Linked DNA regions of Oryctolagus cuniculus. The protein of the gene in region 1 interacts with the protein of each later gene in a pairwise test. Links are inferred from orthologs where the notes say so. Each region holds a gene or a part of one and is shown in the gene's direction. Other genes may lie near its edges. The genes, in order: TANK, PLK1, HTT and IKBKG.

What was found.
Region 2: the proteins of TANK (region 1) and PLK1 interact in binary tests that used the Homo sapiens proteins (3 or more experiments, as listed by UniProt). The link is inferred for Oryctolagus cuniculus from reciprocal best matches to the Homo sapiens genes TANK and PLK1.
Region 3: the proteins of TANK (region 1) and HTT interact in binary tests that used the Homo sapiens proteins (3 or more experiments, as listed by UniProt). The link is inferred for Oryctolagus cuniculus from reciprocal best matches to the Homo sapiens genes TANK and HTT.
Region 4: the proteins of TANK (region 1) and IKBKG interact in binary tests that used the Homo sapiens proteins (3 or more experiments, as listed by UniProt). The link is inferred for Oryctolagus cuniculus from reciprocal best matches to the Homo sapiens genes TANK and IKBKG.

What each region holds. Positions count from the first base shown.
Region 1 is NC_091434.1:80,592,737-80,597,656, reverse strand, and holds the start of TANK (TRAF family member-associated NF-kappa-B activator), read left to right. Parts: upstream 1-1,581; 5' UTR 1,582-1,718; intron 1,719-4,920.
Region 2 is NC_091450.1:15,675,502-15,680,337, reverse strand, and holds the start of PLK1 (serine/threonine-protein kinase PLK1), read left to right. Parts: upstream 1-1,618; 5' UTR 1,619-4,316; coding exon 4,317-4,724; intron 4,725-4,836. Other genes in the region: DCTN5 (dynactin subunit 5), read left to right, coding at 559-725. UniProt on the Homo sapiens protein: Serine/threonine-protein kinase that performs several important functions throughout M phase of the cell cycle, including the regulation of centrosome maturation and spindle assembly, the removal of cohesins from chromosome arms, the inactivation of anaphase-promoting complex/cyclosome (APC/C) inhibitors, and the regulation of mitotic exit and cytokinesis.
Region 3 is NC_091433.1:1,886,045-1,890,350, forward strand, and holds part of HTT (huntingtin), read left to right. Parts: intron 1-1,669; coding exon 1,670-1,825; intron 1,826-4,206; coding exon 4,207-4,306.
Region 4 is NC_091453.1:132,763,553-132,768,553, forward strand, and holds the start of IKBKG (NF-kappa-B essential modulator), read left to right. Parts: upstream 1-1,603; coding exon 1,604-1,790; intron 1,791-5,001. UniProt on the Homo sapiens protein: Regulatory subunit of the IKK core complex which phosphorylates inhibitors of NF-kappa-B thus leading to the dissociation of the inhibitor/NF-kappa-B complex and ultimately the degradation of the inhibitor.

The sequences.
Region 1 (4,920 bases):
GTACTGCCTTCTTTGATGGCCCATTCTTTCTGCAGGGATCTCACTCACAGAGATCTTTCATTTAGGTGTTTGTTTTTTTTTGTTTTTTTTTTTTTTTTTTTTGCCACAGTGTCTTGGCTTTCCATGCCTGTGAAACTCTTATGGGCTTTTTAGCCAGATCCAAATGCCTTAAGGGCTGATTCTGAGGCCAGAGTGTTGTTTTGGGCTTTTGCCATTCTATGAGTCTGCTGTGTATCCTGCCAGAAATGTAAATTCTTGAGAAGTTCTCTTTTCACCAGTGACTATCTCACTTTTTTATTGTTTTCTTTTTGCTATTTTTATTCTATTAAATAGGTTTTATTTTGCCATAGCACCAAAGGACATGCTGTGCTTGATATTTTATCAGTACAACAGTTATAAAGCACATATTGTTAAAGGAAATGTAATGTTTTACTTTATGTTAGATGAATATATGGAATGTTTTACTCATAAGCTTACTCAGTGTTTAGGACACTTTCAAAATTATTTTATCATAAGAAGCAAAATATCAGTCTTATTTAACATGTAAGTTTAAGAGAAGGCAGTGCTTTAAAAGTAGAGGAGTAGAAAAGAAACTTCTGACCAAGAGTCAGAAGTTCTATATTATAGTCCTTTTACTAATTGTGGAACTTTGAGTATGGCCTCAACCTCATCTACAAAAATGCAGGAGCTAAACAAGGAGACAGCTCATTTTGCTAGTCTATTTTCAGTTCAGTAATTTGATACACCAAGAGTATAGTACAGTTAAGAAAGAAAGAGAAAGAAAAAAAGAAAGCACTTGGATTCAAAAGACTCAGAATTTAATCTGAGTGCTACTTCTAACTTCCTTTTTGACATTGAGCATTTACCCTCTGTTTCCTCATCTGTAATAAAAAGGAAATGGAACAGATGGCGTCAAAGGACATTTCCAGCCCTAAAATTTTATAACAAAGAAAAATGTCTGTGGTGCATATGCTGCCTTCCATTTGCACATAAAACTTGATGTTTTGCTCCAAGTAGCCTCAGAGAAATGCACGCATTTGTGAAGCATTTCTCCAGTGTGCTGTAATACACACTCGTCCACACAAAGAGCAGGCCCTAGTTCTCAAAGCAGAGAAGCTGTTTCAAGAGGCTTTGTTTTACTCCTGTTCTGAGTACCTGGGATCAGTCTTGGAAATGCAGCAAAAATCATTATTAAACTAGTCTTCGTCTTCATCTATAGCCCTAAAGCAGACATCTATACTCAAATTTGATCTTTCCCTGCTATTTATAAATAGACTGCTTAGGTGAAAAAGTGACTTCTTAAAGTCTATTAATTCATTTATCAAATAAACTTCCTTTCAAATGTTCTTACATGAAAATATGCTAATACACTATTTTGAGTTTATAATTTCTGACTTTTTGTTAAAACACCTTAACTATTCAACTAAAGTATCTCTGCTTCAAAAGGAAGTCAGAGCTACAGTCACGGGTGGTTTACAGAATATTTTCTGGTAGTCTTTTCTTCATTTCAATATCTTGCTATGATTGGCTGCTGGTAGCTACAAATAAGGAAGTCTTCTAGTCAGGGGATTTCTCAGTGGAAGTTCCCAGTTCAACACAAGGGAGAGCTCAGGACAGTTTGGGCAGCATTGGTAGAGCTTGTGGAAAAAAACTTCCAGTCTTGCCTTCATCTTTAAAGAGGAATAGTCTGTGAAGGAAGATTGTGACCTGGAGAAGAGGTAATCGAATTTTAGCAGTTCTTAGATTCTCAGCCTACCAAAGTGGCCTGAATGTCTATAACTGTAGTGTTGCATATTTGTTCCACTGTTGCTTTTTCTAAGTGAATACTTTATTATATGATTCAGTAATGTCCTTGTATTCATTGTCATAGTTAGAAATTGCCCTTTAAAAGTTGGGTCCCTAGCGAAGATCCAAGGAAATTTGATTCTTTTCTAACTATTAAGATATAATTTATGCCTCTACTTCAAATAATTGTTTAAATTTATATCTGGAATATAAGTCTTCTACACTGAGCGATTTTTTATTGCATAATATAAGACTGAGAGATACTTGGCCTAAATTAAATTGTATATGGTTTAGTAGGTTGTAAATTAATATTATATGTATTCATACTTTTTGTTATATTTTAAAAATCAATTCCAATCAGATCCAGTATATGTATTCAAAATTAAGTTACATTTAATATTTTTCCATTTCATTAGAAACCCATTTCATCACACTAAAGTATTAAGCTTACAGACAACCCTGTATTTCCTATCTTAGAACATTTAAGCTAACACAATTATAGTAATCTAGTCTTATTTTCTTACCAACTGGCCTTTTTATTTTCCTGATCAAACATGAATATTAGAGGTGATGTACTATTTTCTTAAGAATAATCCTAGGAAAAATTGACAGATCAAAAAAATTAAATATCAAGAACCATTGTCACTGTTGCTACATTAACAGCTGCCACATGGCATGCCTACTGGACGAAAATGATCACAGGGTCGTCTAGAGCAAGAGCTCAAATATAAATTCGTACCACTTCTTTTTCCATGGCTTTTTATTCATTACCCTGCCCTTCCTTTTTACAACATTAAAACAATATTTGAAGGTTATCTTGCAGCAGGATGGAGAAAAAAGGCAAATGACTTCACTGAGTTCACAGAGCAACCACATCATTCCTAGCAGCGAGGTCTCCCTTGTCACTTGGCCAGCACATCTCCACACTCTCTCCAGGGTACACTTTACACCGCATGACAGACACACTGGAATGCCTCCATGCAATAAGCTTCAGAATCAGGGCAGGACTTGGGGCTGTATACCTAGTCCAACCTGCCTGAGGTACTTGTCTAGCTGCCTACTGGGGCCTAGAATAAAGTCCAGTTATTTCTCTTAAACATTTATGACCATGAAAGAGATGGCTAACTGGATAATTCAAAATAAGTCTGTTAAGTACCCTTGAAAAAGTTCTGGTGAGAATTTCATAAAATTTCTATCCTAATTTGAGGGAAATACTCAACCCACTAATATAGAACCTTCCTGCTGGTGAACTTCCAGGTCTCTGAATGTATTAAGGCCTCAGTGAACATAAGGTTCTTTGTTGTAAAATGTATTCCAATCGATTTTGTTTTAGCTTCTTCCTTGTATATCAATAGTATAGGCACTATCTTGATATTCTTTGCACCGTATTTTCAAATAACTGCTGTCATATTGATTTCAAAATTTTATCTTTCAGTCATTTTGACCCCCTATCTGTTGTAAACTATTTTATGTAATTCATAAATATGATATCTAGTTAGAAAAATATGTCTCCTTTCTTTTTTCTTGTCACCACATTGGCCAGAACTTCTAGAACAGTGTTTAATAACAGAAGAAAGAACAGTCAGTCAACCTTGTCTTGTTCCTGATCTCAGTGGGAATTTCCCTTGCAGTTAACACTAAGAATGATGTTGGCTATTGGTCTGGGACAAATACATTTATCATAAATACCAAAAAACTACCAAATGTCATAGTTCACTACAGGCATATTAAAGAAAAAAATCAACACTTCATGTTAATCTATGTCTAATATGGTTTTGGTTTCATTAAAGAGAACTGCATGATTTTTCTACTGCATATAGTATTGTGCTGTTACACACAGTATAGCAATTACATTTTTTTTAAAAAATCTTGTGATCAAAAATCATGTTATAATGCTTCAGTAATAAAGATAGGATTATAGTTATACACTATATTATGTTACTCTGATTAAAATAATTAGTTGATCAAAAGAAACCAAACTAAACCTACAGATTTCCACTTTTTTCTCTTTAATCCACATGCTTAGACACCTCTCCTCTATAATTTTGGCTTCACAATTCAACTTAGAACTCAAACTAGCAGAAAAGAGCAAAAACGATGTAGCATAAGCCAAGAACCCTATCCAGGCAGAGCAACCAAATAATTCAAAGCAGATGTTTCGATGCTTTATGCAAAAATCTTTCCTTTTATGACAGTGCTAGCTGCAGACAACAATTCAGTTATAACAAGTAATTGTAAGCAAAATGCACATTCAAACTAGTTAATCTTATATCCAATTCATATGAAGAAAATACATTCCAAAAAATAAAGATTGGTTATTTACTGAGAACTTCTACATTCCCATTTATAAGTGATATTAATGTGTATTTTTATTATTCTGGAAATTATAATTAATAGATTTTTAGTATTAAAGATTTAGGCCAGCTTTATAAGGTAAAATAACACAATGCTTCATATTCTGAAAAAGTTTAATATGTTATCTGTTCCCTGAAATACTTAAAGAACAAATTGATAACACCATTGGCCTTGGCATCATTTTGGAAGCAATTTTTAAAAAGTTTTTCTAATATTTTCTACTATTATTGATTTATTCTGGCTTAAGTAATATTTTTTACTTAAAGTTATTCTTTTAATCAAATTTTTCAAATTGTTGTCATACCTGGTATTCTCACACATTTGAATCACCTCTATAACTTTTTGGATAATCTTTTTTCATTACTCCTTTGTCCATTTATGCTTTATTTTTTTCCCCTAATTGGACTTGTCACAGAGCTCACCTTTGGGATGTACCGATTTTATAGTAGGCTTTGTTTTTTAAATCATTTATCTTTGTTTAATCATTATTAATATTTTCTTAAAGCTGTTTTTGGACTATTTTACTTTTCACAGTTTTTCAAATCAATGTCTGGTTCATTTATTTTTATTTTTATTTTTATTTTTTGTTTTGTAATGAAAATATTTAAGGTTAGTATCATTTTAACTATATCTTACAACATACGATATGCTATATTTATGTTAGCATTATTTTACAGCTTTACTTCTTCTTTGACCAGGAGTCATTTAAGGTAAAGGGTTTTTGAAATTAATTTTTTAGAACAACTTCAAATTGAGAGAAAAACTGAATGCACACTACAG
Region 2 (4,836 bases), on another chromosome or scaffold:
TTATTTATTTATTTGAAAGTCAGAGTTACACAGAGAGAGAAGGAGAAGCAGAGAGAGAGAGAGGTCCTCCATCCTCTGGTTCATTCCCCAGATGGCCACAACGGCCAGAGCAGCGCCGATCAGGAGCCAGGAGCTTCTTCCAGGTCTCCCACGTGGGTGCAGGGGCCCAAGGACTTGGGCCATCTTCCACTACTTTCCCAGGCCACAGCAGAGAGCTGGATCAGAAGTGGAGCAGCCGGTCTCAAACCAGTGCCTGTATGGGATGCTGGCACTGCAGGCGGCGGCTTTACCCGCTATGCCACAGCACTGGCCCCATATTGTCAGCTGTTTGAGCCACAAATGAGCTATGCTGAGCTGAAAGCAGGCGCCAGCTCAATGAACAGGACTCAGACCCTGGGACCACTGGTGATTTAGGGCCCCCTCCATGGGGCCCTGAATCTGAAGACATCTGGATGCTGGCTGAACCATCTGCTTGGCACACAAGTGCCCACAGGAAGGGGCTTCTCTGACAGGAACGCCTACAATCAAACTGCTGATCAGCTGCTGTCTCTGCTGCAGAGGCTGATTGCATTCCTGAAGTCAGATCTGTGCTGAAAGTCACCAGCTGGGAAAGGCACGTCACTGAGACTGTCACCTTTGTGCCTGCTTCGACAGTGCTGCTGTTTGTTGGCTCAGGCTCAGCTTTCGGGATTAGTTGCAGCTCACGACATTACCTGATAGTCTAACTCTGCTTCCCTTCACTTTTCTCGAGTACACACAGCCAAATGAGGTAGGTTGATAAAATGTTACTGTCCCCAGAAAGGGCTTGGTCTTTTCCAGCCTGTACATTGGGTAGACAGGACAAAAACAGAGGACAGTGATATACACTAATTTGTAAATTTCTGAAAATTTAGAATTTTATCCTCTACTAGTCTGCTAGGGTTACCGTAATGAAATACCAGAAACTGAGTGGCGTAAACAATAGGAATTTATTTTCTTACTATTCTGGAGGCTGGGGGTCCAAGAGCAAGGTGACAACAGGTTTGATTTTTCCTGAAGCCTCTCTCCCCGGCTCACAGATGGCTGCCTTCCTGCTGTGTCCTCCCAGAGTCCCTCTGTGTGTGTGTCTCTGCGTCTTATCACCCCTTTCTATAAGGCCACCAGTCCTATTGGATTAGTGCCCACCCTAACAACCCCATTTCAACTTCATCTCCGCTCTAAAAGCCTATCTCCAAACACAGTCGCATTCTGAAGTACCAGTGATTAGGGCTTCAACAAGTGGATTTTGGGGGATACACCCCATAGCATCCTTACAAGCTCCTGACTGTGTCTTTCTATTACGTTGTGTACAGATCTGTATCTGCAAAGCTGTCTTTGTACCTCCTGTATACAACTCTTCCATACAAAAGGCCTAAAAAATGATTGAAAGAATGTAAAGTTAGGATTGTTGAAGAGGACTAATTTTGTAACATTGGAGAAATAAAAACCTGGCACCTGAGGAGGCCTGATACTTGTTCTTGAGAACTATTCCTGAAAACCTTCCCCTCTTCCTGAAGGGTAAGTTCCCCGCGCTGCCTTTCCACCTGTTGGAGTGCTTGGGGTTCAGACGGCGGACAGTGGGGGAGGGGAGGGCTCCAGCACTTTGTATACCAAACACCTTCGCTTGCCATCCACACTGACGAGTAGGATAAACTTGTGTCGTGAACAGGCAAAACTGGGACTCACTGCCTTCAGGAAGTTCCTCAGAAACCAAGCACTCTGGGAACTTTTCTGATGGGCCTGAAAACATGGTAGGAGTCCACAGGGGGGCCCCTTGTTAACCTGTTGTGCCTGATTTATGTCCTGCCCTCATTTTGTAAAGGCGTTGTATCCAGGGGTGCCACCTGGGCCTCTGGGGTTGTACTTGTCTATGTGACCCTGACTGCCCTGACCCTGCACCAGCCCTGGAAGGGCTTCAACCTGCTGGCCAGAGTCCTGCCGTGCCTGAACTGACGCCTCAGGTCAGTTAGCATGGTTTACATCACCCAAGGCGGAGGCCACCTGGCTTTCTGAGATGGACTTCTGCAGTTATGGGAGTGATGGGAACCGGCTAAACTTCAGACCCGTAGCAGGCGTGACTGAAACCACAGTGCAGGACGGTCTTGCCTCTTCACACGCAGTCTTACTGGTAATTTTTCTGTGAAGAAGCCTCAGCCCAGAGGGTGAGTGGTGCAGAAGTTAATAGAGAGGTGATAAGCATTAACGGAGCAGGCTGCGGCTGGCTCCCCTTCCGAAGGTCTGTTTGCAAGGTTGACCCTGGGCTGCTGTCTGGGAGCTTAGATTTCAGGTAGGTTCTCACCGCTCCTGCGTGCCGTACACCTGCTTCTCCTGAGAGTCTGGAGTTCTGATAGGTGTTAGGCAGAGGCCAACATCATGACCAGCACCCAGTGAAAATTGTAGGTAGTCCCAACTCATTGCTGGAAGAAGTCAGGGTGTCCTTTGTGACTACGCTGGGAAATGACTGGGAAACTCACACCTGGGTTCCTCTGGACTTCGCTCCGTGTGTCTTTTTCCTTTGCTGCTTTTATTCCTAGCCTTTCGCTGAACTAACTCACAGCTGTGAGTTCAAGTGTGTGCTCCGTCCTGCGACTGTCCTAGTGAATCATCTAACTGAGGGGTGGTTAGGGCACAAGGAGGGCTTCTTGGGTGTTGGTGGGGTTCTCGTTCTCAGTCTGAGTGTTGTTTACATGGGGCATGTTTACAGTTTGTGAAAATGTGCCGCTAGGATGTGAAAATTGTCCTGTGGAGTCTTCCAAATATTAGTGAAAAGCTAAAATAGAGTACACTTGATGGGGATTTTTAAAAAAATGATGATTAAAAGCAAAAACCCTTGCTTTTACTCAGCAACCATTTCGGTAATACCCGCACCAGCCACGCATGCTGCACTGCCAGTTGGCATGAGGTGCTGTCTTCGTTGCACCAGCCTAAGTGGGGGCCTGGTCAGGAGGAGCTTGTGCTCTGATTGTCGCTACTCAGAGACCGTCCACCTTCGTGTTCTGCTGTCCCAGGGTTGTCAGTCAAGGGCCTTCGGAATGGGCGCAGGCGGGAGCTGGGTGCTGTGGCAGACTGGGAGGGTTGGTCAGTCCAGAGTGGTTGGCACCTCGGATTATTTCAGAAAAAGCCACAAATCTGAATTTTTGTGTGAGCCACCTTTATTTATTTTTTTTTGTAACTGTATTTATTTTGCCTAATTTGAAAGGCAGAGAGAGAGAAAGAGAGATTCTCTATCCTCTGTTCACTCCCCGCATGTCCACAACAGCCAGAGCTAGGCCAAGCCAGAGCCAGAAGCCAGGGACTCAAGTAGCTGAGCGGTGACCTGTGGCCTCCCAGGGTGTGCATTAGCGGGAAGCTGGACTGAAGCAGAGGTGGGACTTGAAGCCAGGCACTTTGACAGGGAATGCAAGTGTCCCCAAGCCCAGCTTGAGCTCTCTTTGCTGTGAATGAATTCAAATTTTCAAAGTGGAAAACCACACCAAACAGCCTGCAGCTCAGCTGTGGCTGTGACCTGCCCGTCTCTAGGCATTCTCCCAGCCAGCCTCCCTCTCCCGCGTCCTCTATTTTAGGCACTTGGGAAGGCGAGCCAGGCAGCTTTCCCGCGTCCCGTAGCGGGCTCCAGTGTGTGTAGGAATCACCTGGGCAGATTCTGACCTGGGAGAGCTGGAGCAGGCCTGAAGCTCCAGGTGATGGTGATGCTGCTGGCTCCTGGACGGTGCTTTGAGCGGCGTTGCTGTGTAATGCAGAGCCCTGGAGGGGACCAGAGGCGTCCCGTGAAGGTGCCTGCTTTCACTTAGATTCCAGTTTATTCGGGGTGGCTCGCCCGAGGGCCCGGGGCAGGCAGGCGGCTGCCCTGCAGGTCAGCTGTGGCTCTCTTAAACTGCCTCTAGGCGCTGCGGGGTCTCTACTCTTGGGAAAAACTTGCCCGAGGGAGCGTGTGAACCGCAGGAGCGGCCCGGCTCCCCAGTAAGGGAGAAGCCCTGAACGAATTCCCCTCTACCCGGGGCTGGGGCTCGGCCTCCCCAGGCCGGGGACGCTTTCCCAGGAGAGCCCACGTGTCTACCGTCGGCGCCTTGCTGTCAATCAAGTGTTTTCCTGCCCGGGTCCGGGCTGACGGGCGGGCGGTGCGGAGCGCTCCCATGGTCCCGCGCGGCGGGCGGGTTTGGATTTTAAATCCCCGCGGCCAATCAGTGGCGCGCAGGCTGTTGTAACGTTCCCAGCGCCGCGTTTGAATTCGGGGAGGAGCAGTGCGGTGCAGAGCCTCTGCCCCGACCCTGCCAGGTCCGCCGAGCAGCCCCGGGAGCATGAGTGCAGCGCTGAGTGCAGCAAAGCTGGCGCGGGCGCCGGCCGACCCAGGGAAGGCTGGCGGCCCCGGAGTGGCAGCTCCCGGAGCACCGGCAGCTGCTCCGCCGGCCAAAGAGATCCCCGAGGTCCTGGTGGACCCACGCAGCCGGCGGCGCTATGTGCGGGGCCGCTTTCTGGGCAAGGGCGGCTTCGCCAAATGCTTCGAGATCTCCGATGCGGACACCAAGGAGGTGTTCGCCGGCAAGATCGTGCCCAAGTCTCTGCTGCTCAAGCCGCACCAGAAGGAGAAAATGTCCATGGAGATCTCCATTCACCGCAGCCTGGCCCACCAGCACGTCGTCGGCTTCCACGGCTTTTTCGAGGACAGCGACTTCGTGTTCGTGGTGTTGGAGCTCTGCCGCCGCAGGGTGAGTGCATCGCCAAGGCGCTGGAGCTGCTGGGGGGCCTGGGCTTGGGGGGCCCAGCTCTGGAGCTGCAGGCAAAGGGGCGGGCGCACGGGACGTGGGATTGCTGGGGAAG
Region 3 (4,306 bases), on another chromosome or scaffold:
CCTTGTCTGTTCACCTCTGGGGCATGTGACGGGGTCCCGCGTGCCCGGTCCCCACTGCCAAGAGGCGCCGCCTCGTAGGGCAGGCGCTGCAGGTGGCAGTCTTGGGGCCAAGACGCCTCAGCCACTCAGGCGCTCCGAGGGCGCTAGCTGCGGCCTTGGTGTCTCAGTGTCAGCGATGGAGCAGAACCTGAGGCGCTCTGGAGACACACCCGACCAGTCAAAAGTAATTTGTTACAAATAGGTTTTAAAAATTAGAATAGCTTTTTTATATTTTTTAAAAATTTAAAAAGCAAAATGTGTAGCTTGTTAGAAAACAGCTAAATTCACATGTCTGCTCTTGGCTCAGTTTATAATACCACGTAAGCACTGCAGACTTCGGTCATACACTGGGGAAATTGAGGTCGGGGAGAGGCAACTGGTCAGCATTGCTGTGGGCATAGTTTGGTCCTTGGCAGTCACCTGGAGGGTCTCAGCTATACCAGGCTTCCCGGGCCACTTCAGAGCCTCAGCCCCCGCCCCCACCCACTCCTGCAGAATAGGGTGCCCATGATTGAGTTCTGATTTTAGGTGTAATGTTAGGAGTAGAACCTTAGAGAAGGGGCCAGCATTGTGGCATAGCAGATAAGCTGCTGGCGTCCCTATGATGCTGGTTCATGTCCCAGCTGCTCCAGTTCTGATCCAGCTCCCTGCTGATGGCCTGGGGAAAGCAATGGAACATGGCCCTAATACTTGGACTCCTGCCACCCACGTGGGAGACCTGCAAGAAGCCTCTGGCTCCTGGCTTTGGCCTGGCCCAGCCCCAGTCATTGTGGCCATCTGGGGAATGAACCAGCGGATGGAAGATCTTTTTCTCCCTCTCTCTGTCTCTTCTGTATGTTAACTCTGACTTCCAAATAATAAATAAATCTTTAAAAAAAAAAAATAGAGAAAGAGGGTGTTGGAAGCTCACCTGAAAAAAACCACACTTACTTCTCAACAAGTAGTTGTCCGCCTGACTCCTCCTGTGTGGTGGTGAGGTCCTATCCTTGGGAGCCATCACAGAAGTAGCCCTTTCACTGTTCCCATGTGGGCGCTGGCTGTGCCAGGGCTGCCCTCTGGGGCAGGCGTGGGTGCCAGTGACGGGGTTTTCTTCATGTTCTGTGTTTAGGTTTTGTTTTTAGAGTGTCTGGGTTGAAGTCCCAGAACTCCACTTTTTTTTTTTTTTAACTTACTTGACAGGTAGAGTTAGATAGTGAGAGAGAGACAGAGAGAAAGGTCTTCCTTCCGCTGGTTCACCCCACAAATGGCCACTATGGCTGGCGCTGTGCCATCCAAAACCAGGAGCCAGGTGCTTCTTCCTGGTCATCCATGCCGGTGCAGGGCCCAAGCACTTGGGCCATCCTCCACTGCCCTCCCGGGCCACAGCAGAGCGCTGACTAGAAGAGGAGCAGCCAGGACTAGAACCCAGTGCCCATATGGGATGCCCGTGCTGCAGACAGAAGATTAACCAAGTGAGCCACGGCGCCGGCCCCCGTGTTAGGTTTTTAGGTTCTCGGTTGGGGTTCCTGTGCATTCCCGCACCTCACCTGTGAGCGTTCGAAGGTAGCCTGTCGTCGCTGGCGCGTCGGGCCGCACCGCCTGCCTTTCTGATTGCGTAGTCTTCCCTTCCTCCCCGACACTCCCCCTCCAGCTTCTTGTGGTCTCAGACCTGTTCACTGAACGCAACCAGTTTGAGATGATGTATGCGACGCTGACCGAGCTGCGGAGGGTGCACCCTTCGGAAGACGAGATTCTCATCCAGTACCTGGTGCCTGCCACCTGCAAGGCAGCTGCTGTCCTCGGCATGGTGAGTGGCACGCCCTGCTGCCGGTTCCCCGGCTAGTCTTCAGCTCAGAGCATCCAGTTCTGCTGCTGCCGTTCCACACTCCTCACAGAGATGGTCCCTGCAGCCGCACGACGGCCTCTCCACGGTCTGCCGGTGGCCCAGTGCACGCCCAGTCCCTCTGTGCCGCTTGCGTTTGCCACAGCGGCCTGCATTCCTGCTCCCAGGTCTGGGCACTGTGACGTGTTGTTGGCGCCAGGGCCAACTGGGTGTTGAGCTGCTGGGGCAAAGCCTCTTGGCCTGGATGGCTCACAGCCAGCCCGTGAGCACGACACGAGCAGGTTCTGTGCACAGTGAGGGGCGCTGCTTGCCGTGTCCCTGGGGTGGCATGAGCCCACCCGCGGAGTGCTGTCACACTGGGAGTTGGTTTTCAGCCTGCGAGTTGGGGGCGGGAGGTGGGGCACAAGCATTCGGGCCCTAGCAAGGGTCAGATGGTGTCTTCCGGTTCCTCCTTACTCTGCCTTGAGCTCATCGGTGCTTACGGCACCAGATCCTGTGCCTGTGTCACCATGGGAAGGCTGCCAGCCACACACGTCAGCTATACGCACCACTAACCATGAGTGCCGTCAGTCCTTACAACACTGTAAGGCACTCGTGTTCTGTGGCCACTTCAGTACTGTGTGTGTCAGCATTTAGGCCTCTGGTGGGGGCTTGAGGGTACCTGGCTACCCCGTGTTCCACGCGTTTTCCTCTGTGTGACAGCAGGAACATTGCCGCTCCTGCTATGCCCGCACCCCTGGCCTCGTCTACATCTGAAAGGCAGCCTGAGAAAGCAGAGGTCGGAGGTTAGCTGACTTGTGCCAGGTCGCACAGGATGGGGGCTCGCCCTGTTGCCCACTGCTCCCTCCTGGGGTCTGTCCCGGCAGAGCCTGGGTGCTGGAGCAGGTAGGGTGTCGTGGGTGGCCTTCAGCCTGCTGCCGTGCCAGTGACTCAGAGCCACGCAGGGAGCAGAGACAATGGGTGTGGGTCTCCTGGTGTGAACATGTTCTTCAAAGTCAGTGCCTCTGGGTGCTGCCTGAATGATGGCAAAGCAGCTCCCTGGAAGGGGCCTTTTTTCTCTGTGGGGAGTTCCAGTGGCTGGCTTAACTTTTCATTGTCACTGTGTTTTGTGCTAGACCCAGAGCCCCCAGGCAAATGTAAATCAAATAAATGAAATAAGAAATAACAATTTTCTAGAGAGATCCTGAGGCAGAAAGGCGCCTGGACCCTGCTTCTGAGTTCTGTGCACACAGCTTTTCCCTGGAAGATGGCCATCTTCTGTGAGGGTCTGCAGCGTGCCGTCCTCAGCCCCGGCAGGGACACCCGCGTGGTGGCAGCGGGCCGTGTTTTCAGCAGTGGGGCTGAGGAGTCGGGCAGGCCCAGCCCAGGGGTGAAGCAGGGAGCGTCTCCTTCTGCCTGAGGCTTGGGACGCAGAATTCCCACAGAAAGCTGGATGGCCACGGCCTCTCGTCAAGACAAGGTGTCAGCCAGCAGCAGCCACTCTGCGTGGAAACGGTGTGGAGAACCTGGTGTTGCAGCACGCCCACCACTGCCTGCGACTGTTACAGAGCACAGTGCCGCGTGGGTCTCGGTGTGTACAGGACCCGTTGTACTAGGACTCACAGGACTGAGCGAAATGGACCAAGGCAGCATCGAGTGCTGTCGAGAGTCCCCAAGATGACTCCATATTTTTGTTAGAAGGGATCACAGCTTAAATTCATTATAGGAAGGGGTTCAGAGCAGAGTCAGCAAAGAGAAAAGGCACAGGGCCAAAGTTCCAAGGAGACCGGCCGAGCTCCCAGAATCCTCTCCCAGTGGACTCTCCCAGCTCATGCTCAGTCCCCCAGCGAGACGTTCTGACAACACACAGGACATGCAGTCAGCCAGGGGAGCCCGGCAGGGACTCCGTGTGCGGGGTCTTCATGGGGGGCTGGTCGTGTGGGCACGCTCGGCCGGGCTCGTTCTAAACCTCAGACTCCCAGGACAGCAGGTGCAGCATGAGCCCCCTTGTCTGCACAGGCAGCCGAGGCCCGTGTGGGCAGTGGGCACCCTCCCAGAGCCAGCGAAGGGCTAACCTGGTGCGCAGGCCTCTCTCAGACAGCCAGGGGCTAACCTTGTGTGCAGGCTTCTCAGACAGCGAGGGGCTAACCTGGTGCACAGGCCTCTCTCAGACAGCGAGGGGCTAACCTGGTGCACAGGCCTCTCAGGCAGCGAGGGGCTAACCTTGTCACAGGCCAGCTCTCAGGGCTCTTCTGCATGCTGGACTTCTCTGGACATGAGGGCAGCCTCTTAGCTACAGGGCAGCCGGCCACTGGGCCAGCTGCTCCTGCTCCATCCTGGGCAACCTTGCCTGTGCTTGTTTGCAGGACAAGGCTGTGGCCGAGCCCGTCAGCCGCCTGCTGGAGACCACGCTCAGGAGCGGCCACCTGCCCAGCAGGATCGGAGCCCTGCACGGCGCCCTCTACG
Region 4 (5,001 bases), on another chromosome or scaffold:
GCATTGGGGTTGGCCACTTCCTCCTGGTGCTCGGTCTTCTTGGCAGGATTTAAAAGGTCCTGGGGTTGGTGCTGTTCCCCACGCACCAGCTCTGGTTTCTAAGAAAACACAGGCGGCTCAGCCTGTCTTCTTCCTCAACTGTGTCAGGCCAGCTCCCACTTTGAAGATTCCTCAGCGCATATCTGACTCCAGGGGCTACACTTGTTAGACTGTTAGTGGACTCAGAGCCCCTCTTGCTAGGTCTGTGAGGACTGCTGTAGGCAGTGACCACAAGCTTGGTGGCTTAAAGCACCCGAAATGTAATCTCGTGGTTCTGGAGGACAGTAGTTGGAAAGCAAAAAGTCGACAGGACTGCAGCCCCAGAGGCTGAGAGGAGAGGGTTCTCTCTCGTCTCTTCCAGCTTCTGGTGGCTCTGATTTTTCCTTGGCATGTGGCCACATCTCTTTATTATCTGCTTCTTTTTTTTTTTGACAGGCAGAGTGCACAGTGAGAGAGAGAGAGAGAGAGAGAAAGGTCTTCCTTTGCCGTTGGTTCACCCTCCAATGGCCGCTGCGGCCGGCGCACTGCGGCCGGTGCACCGCGCTGATCCGATGGCAGGAGCCAGGTACTTCTCCTGGTCTCCCATGGGGTGCAGGGCCCAAGGACTTGGGCCATCCTCCACTGCACTCCCTGGCCACTATCTGCTTCATTTTTTTTAAAAAAAGATTTATTTATTTGAAAGGCAGATAGAGAGGGTAGGATGGAGAGAGAGAGATGTTCTGTCTGCCGTTTCACTCCCCAGATGGCTGCAATGGCCAGGGCCAGGCCAGGCTGAAACCAGGAGCCAGGAACTTCATTTGGGTCTCGCACTTGGGTACAGGGACCCAAGCACTTGAGCCATCTTCCGCTGCTTTCCTGGGTGCATTAGCAGGGAGCTGGATTGGAAGTGGAGTAATCAGGCCTTGAACCAGTGCCTATATGGGATGGTGGCTTAACCCGTTACACCACAATGCTGGCCCCTTCTGACTGTTTTCACCTGGCTTTCTTCCTTGCATGTTTTCCTCTGTCTTTTGTCTTTTATAAAGACACTTGTTAATGGATTTAAGGCCCACCTGAATAACCCAGCAAGCTCTCATTTTGATCAAGGCCCTTAGTTTACATCTGCAAAGATACTTTTCCCAAATAAAGTTGCATTTATAGGTTTTGGGGCTACCATGCAGCCTACAGTACTTGGGAGGGAACATCCCCTCCGGCTTGAGGGTCTGTGTAAGGGTAGGGGTCCCAGCGCACACCGATGTCTCCTGCTACAATAATCCTTAGTTTTCTGCCTCTGGCAAAGTTCCTGCCTTAGGTGTGCATCCTGAAGATGGGTGCTGGTACAGAGTCCGTAACCAGTGCTAAGCCATGGCCTGTGCAAGTCTCACAGAGGTGGTTCAGCATCTTCCTTCGGAATGAGGGTGTTTGTGACCTCTTAGATCGAAACCCCATTTCGGCCAGAGGGATCAGCATTTTGCCTTCATGGCCCCAGAGCTCCTGCACAGAGTGTACTTATCCTGCTGGGGATGAGAATTCCCCTGGGTCTCATGGGATGCCTTTGCTGCCTTTCTCGAAGAGCGTGCCTTGGATGAGCAGGCAGCCCTGGAAGAACCAGCTGTGTGAGATGGTGCAGCCCAGCGGCGGCCCGGCCGGGGACCAGGACGTGCTGCCTGAAGAGTCTTCTCTGGGGAAGCCGGCCATGCTGCATCTGCCCGCAGAGCAGGGTGCTCCTGACGCTCTCCAGCGCTGTCTGGAGGAGAACCAAGAGCTCCGAGGTGAGGTGGACAGCAAGTAGGTGGGGCACAAAGTCAGGGGATCTGGTCCTGCTGAAGGCAAGGCTTCTCTCGTGCACCTCTGCGTCTGCTGGGTGTGGGGCGAGGGCACCCCGAGAGCCAGCTTGTGCTTCCAGCGTAGCTACCTTGCCTCCTGGTTCCAGGCGGGGTTCCCTGGGAGCAGACCGAGGTGCATGGCAGGGTCAGTACTGAGGCAGAGAAGGGAAGGAGATGGGAGAAAGCAGGGGTGGGCAGCAGAAGTGGGCTGCCTTGGCTGACCCCCAGGGACTCTGGGGCTGGACTGACACTTCCAGGCTGGACCAGCGTGGCCCAGCCTCAGAGGACCTCTTCCCTGGGAGGGGACTCAGACTTTCCTGGGGTGGGTTGCGGTCTTGTTTGAGAGGGGGGTGCTGTGGCCTGTCCTGGGAAGTGGGTGTGGCCCACCCTGAGAGGAGGTGGTGTTGACCAGCATGAGAGGCATGACCCCTGCTGCAGTGGGGTAGCTGATGCCTCAGTTGTGTCTTTAGTTGGCCATTCATGTCCTAGTTGGCCAGTGGCTCTTGCCACAGTTGTAGTCCCATTCCCCACCTCCTTAAGTGAGTGTTGGATGTGATGTAGGGTCTTTTGCTGATGAGTCACGTGCTCTGTGGCCTCAGGGAGTGGTGCTGGCAGATGCCATGCACGCAGGGAGCAGACCTGGGTCTGGAATGTGTGTCCTCTTCCTAGGAGACAGCTAGCCACCAAGAGACTGCTTGGTTTCCTTGAAGGTTGCATTGGAGAGGCCCCGCCTTTTTTTTTTTTTTTTAGATTTATTTATCTGAAAGGCAGAATTACAGAGAGGCAGAGGCATACAGAGAAAGAGAGGCCTTCCATCCGCTTGTTCACTCTGCAGATGGCCTCAACGGCCAGAGCTGTGCTGATCCCAAGCTGGGAGCCAGGAGCTTCTTCTGGGTCTCCTATGCGGGTGCAGGGGCCTGAGGACTTGGGCCATCTTCTGCTTTCCCAGGCCATAGCAGAGAGCTAGATCGGAAGTGGAGCAGTGGGTCTAGAACCAGCGCCCATATGGGATGGTGGCACTGCAGACGGCGGCTTTACCCACTATGCCACGGCGCTGGCCCCGAGGCCCTGTCTTGAGCACAGAGCAGCAGTGTCTTCTACCTCAGTTCTGTTGACCTCTGGGGCCAGCTAATTCTCTGTGGTGAGGGCTGTCCTAGCCATTGTGGCATGGTGAGCAGTATCCCTGGCTTCTACTCACAGGTGCCAATAGTGCCCCTCCAGTCCCCTGGGAGTCACAGTTGTCCTTGAGTGGGACCCACTGTGCTGGGGTCTTCAGAACAAGTCATGCACATAGAGCTGGCAGCCAGATCGGGGCCTCTGCTCATCCCTAGGGGCCCAGAGCATTTCAGAGCAGTTGTGCAGGGCTCATGCCATGGCCTGTGGTGGCTCGGCTCTTCTGCCTCCTAGACTGTGTGTTCAGCACAACAGCTTTGCTAAGTCTCTGGCAGCAAGTGGAGACTTGAGGCTATATTGCCTCCAACTGGGAAGCTGGATAAAGCTTGGGGGGCAGCATGTGAGACCCCCGGGGCCCTGAAGGTGATTGTCCCCCAAGGTGCTCATGATTGTGTCTATAGGTAGGCTGTGAAACCAAACAAGGGAGGGTACAGTGTTTGCTCAGAACGTTTATGAAGAAACTTCCCGGAAGAGCTTGCCTGTATTCACGTGACATGTCTCAGAGACAGAAAGCAGTTGAGTGGACGCCAGGAGTGCGGGCAGGGGGCCTACGGGAGAGAATGCTGCTGGGTTTGGGGTTTCTTTCTGGGGTGCTGGGAATGTTCTGGAATTAGGTAGTGCTGATGGTTGCATGATCTTACAGCTTCATTAGCTAAAAACCACTGGATGACTATACTTTAAAATAGTTAAAATGGTGAATTTGATGTTACATGAATTTTTACGTCACTAAAAAGAAATTTAAAAGACATTGCACACAAGTTGAGACTCGGGTTGAGTGGGCAGGCAGCAGTGATGGCCAAGGGTTTGGAACATTCAGTGATGTGAAACTACTGTCTACCTCTGTTGGATACGGTTCTGTGGTTGCCCTAGAACCTTGCACGTCACTGATCGCTTTTGTCAGATGCTTCTTCCTCTACCTGGGGTGGTCGCTGGGTATGTGGCTTTCCTCTCCTCTGGCCTCTGCCAGCCACCTGCCGCTGGCACTGATATATGCTCATGGCTTAGTCTGGCGAGAAGAAGACTGCTCTTATTTATTTATTTATTTATTTATTTATTTATTGACAGGCAGAGTGGATAGTGAGAGAGAGAGAGACAGAGAGAAAGGTCTTCCTTTTGCCGTTGGTTCACCCTCCAATGGCCGCCACGGCCGGTGCGCTGCGGCCGGCGCACCGCGCTGATCCGATGGCAGGAGCCAGGAGCCAGGTGCTTTTCCTGGTCTCCCCATGGGGTGCAGGGCCCAAGCACCTGGGCCATCCTCCACTGCACTCCCTGGCCACAGCAGAGGGCTGGCCTGGAAGAGGGGCAACTGGGACAGAATCCGGCGCCCCGACCGGGACTAGAACCCGGTGTGCCGGCGCCGCTAGGCGGAGGATTAGCCTAGTGAGCCGCGGCGCCGGCCAAAGACTGCTCTTTTTTGAGTTTCTGCACAAACACTGTGTCTGCTGCTGCTGCTTAGAGGGCAGGTGTTCTTGTCCCTGTCGAATACGCAGAGGCAGGCACTGAAGCTTAGACAGGCACCTACCTTGCCCCATCAAAGCCAGCAAGGCCACAGTGAAGTCTGCTTTCGTGGCCATCCCGAGTATGCAGCTGTGTTAGGACCCCTTGATCCTGAAGACACCAGAGATGTAGGCGGGGGAGGACCGAACTGAGGAGCTCAGGGCAGGCGTGTTTTGGACTGAACCAGAAGCCGGGTGACTTAGAGAGCTAGCTGCTCACAAAGAAAGTAACGTTTGGCACATACTTTCCAGTGAAGCTGATATGTTTACTGTTTCGTTGGAGAGACTTCAGAGGCATTTAAGCAAATATCTAACAGGGAGCACTTGAAAGTTACCAGTTCCTTTGAGAAGTTCCTTTGAGAAGCCTGGTATTACGGGCAGGAGGCTGTGATGGGTGGCCCTGCCTCAGGCACGTTTGGCCATGGGCAGGGCTGGTTGGCCAGGCTGCCCGGCTGCTGGTGCTCACTTCCCTCCTGCTGTGTCTCCTG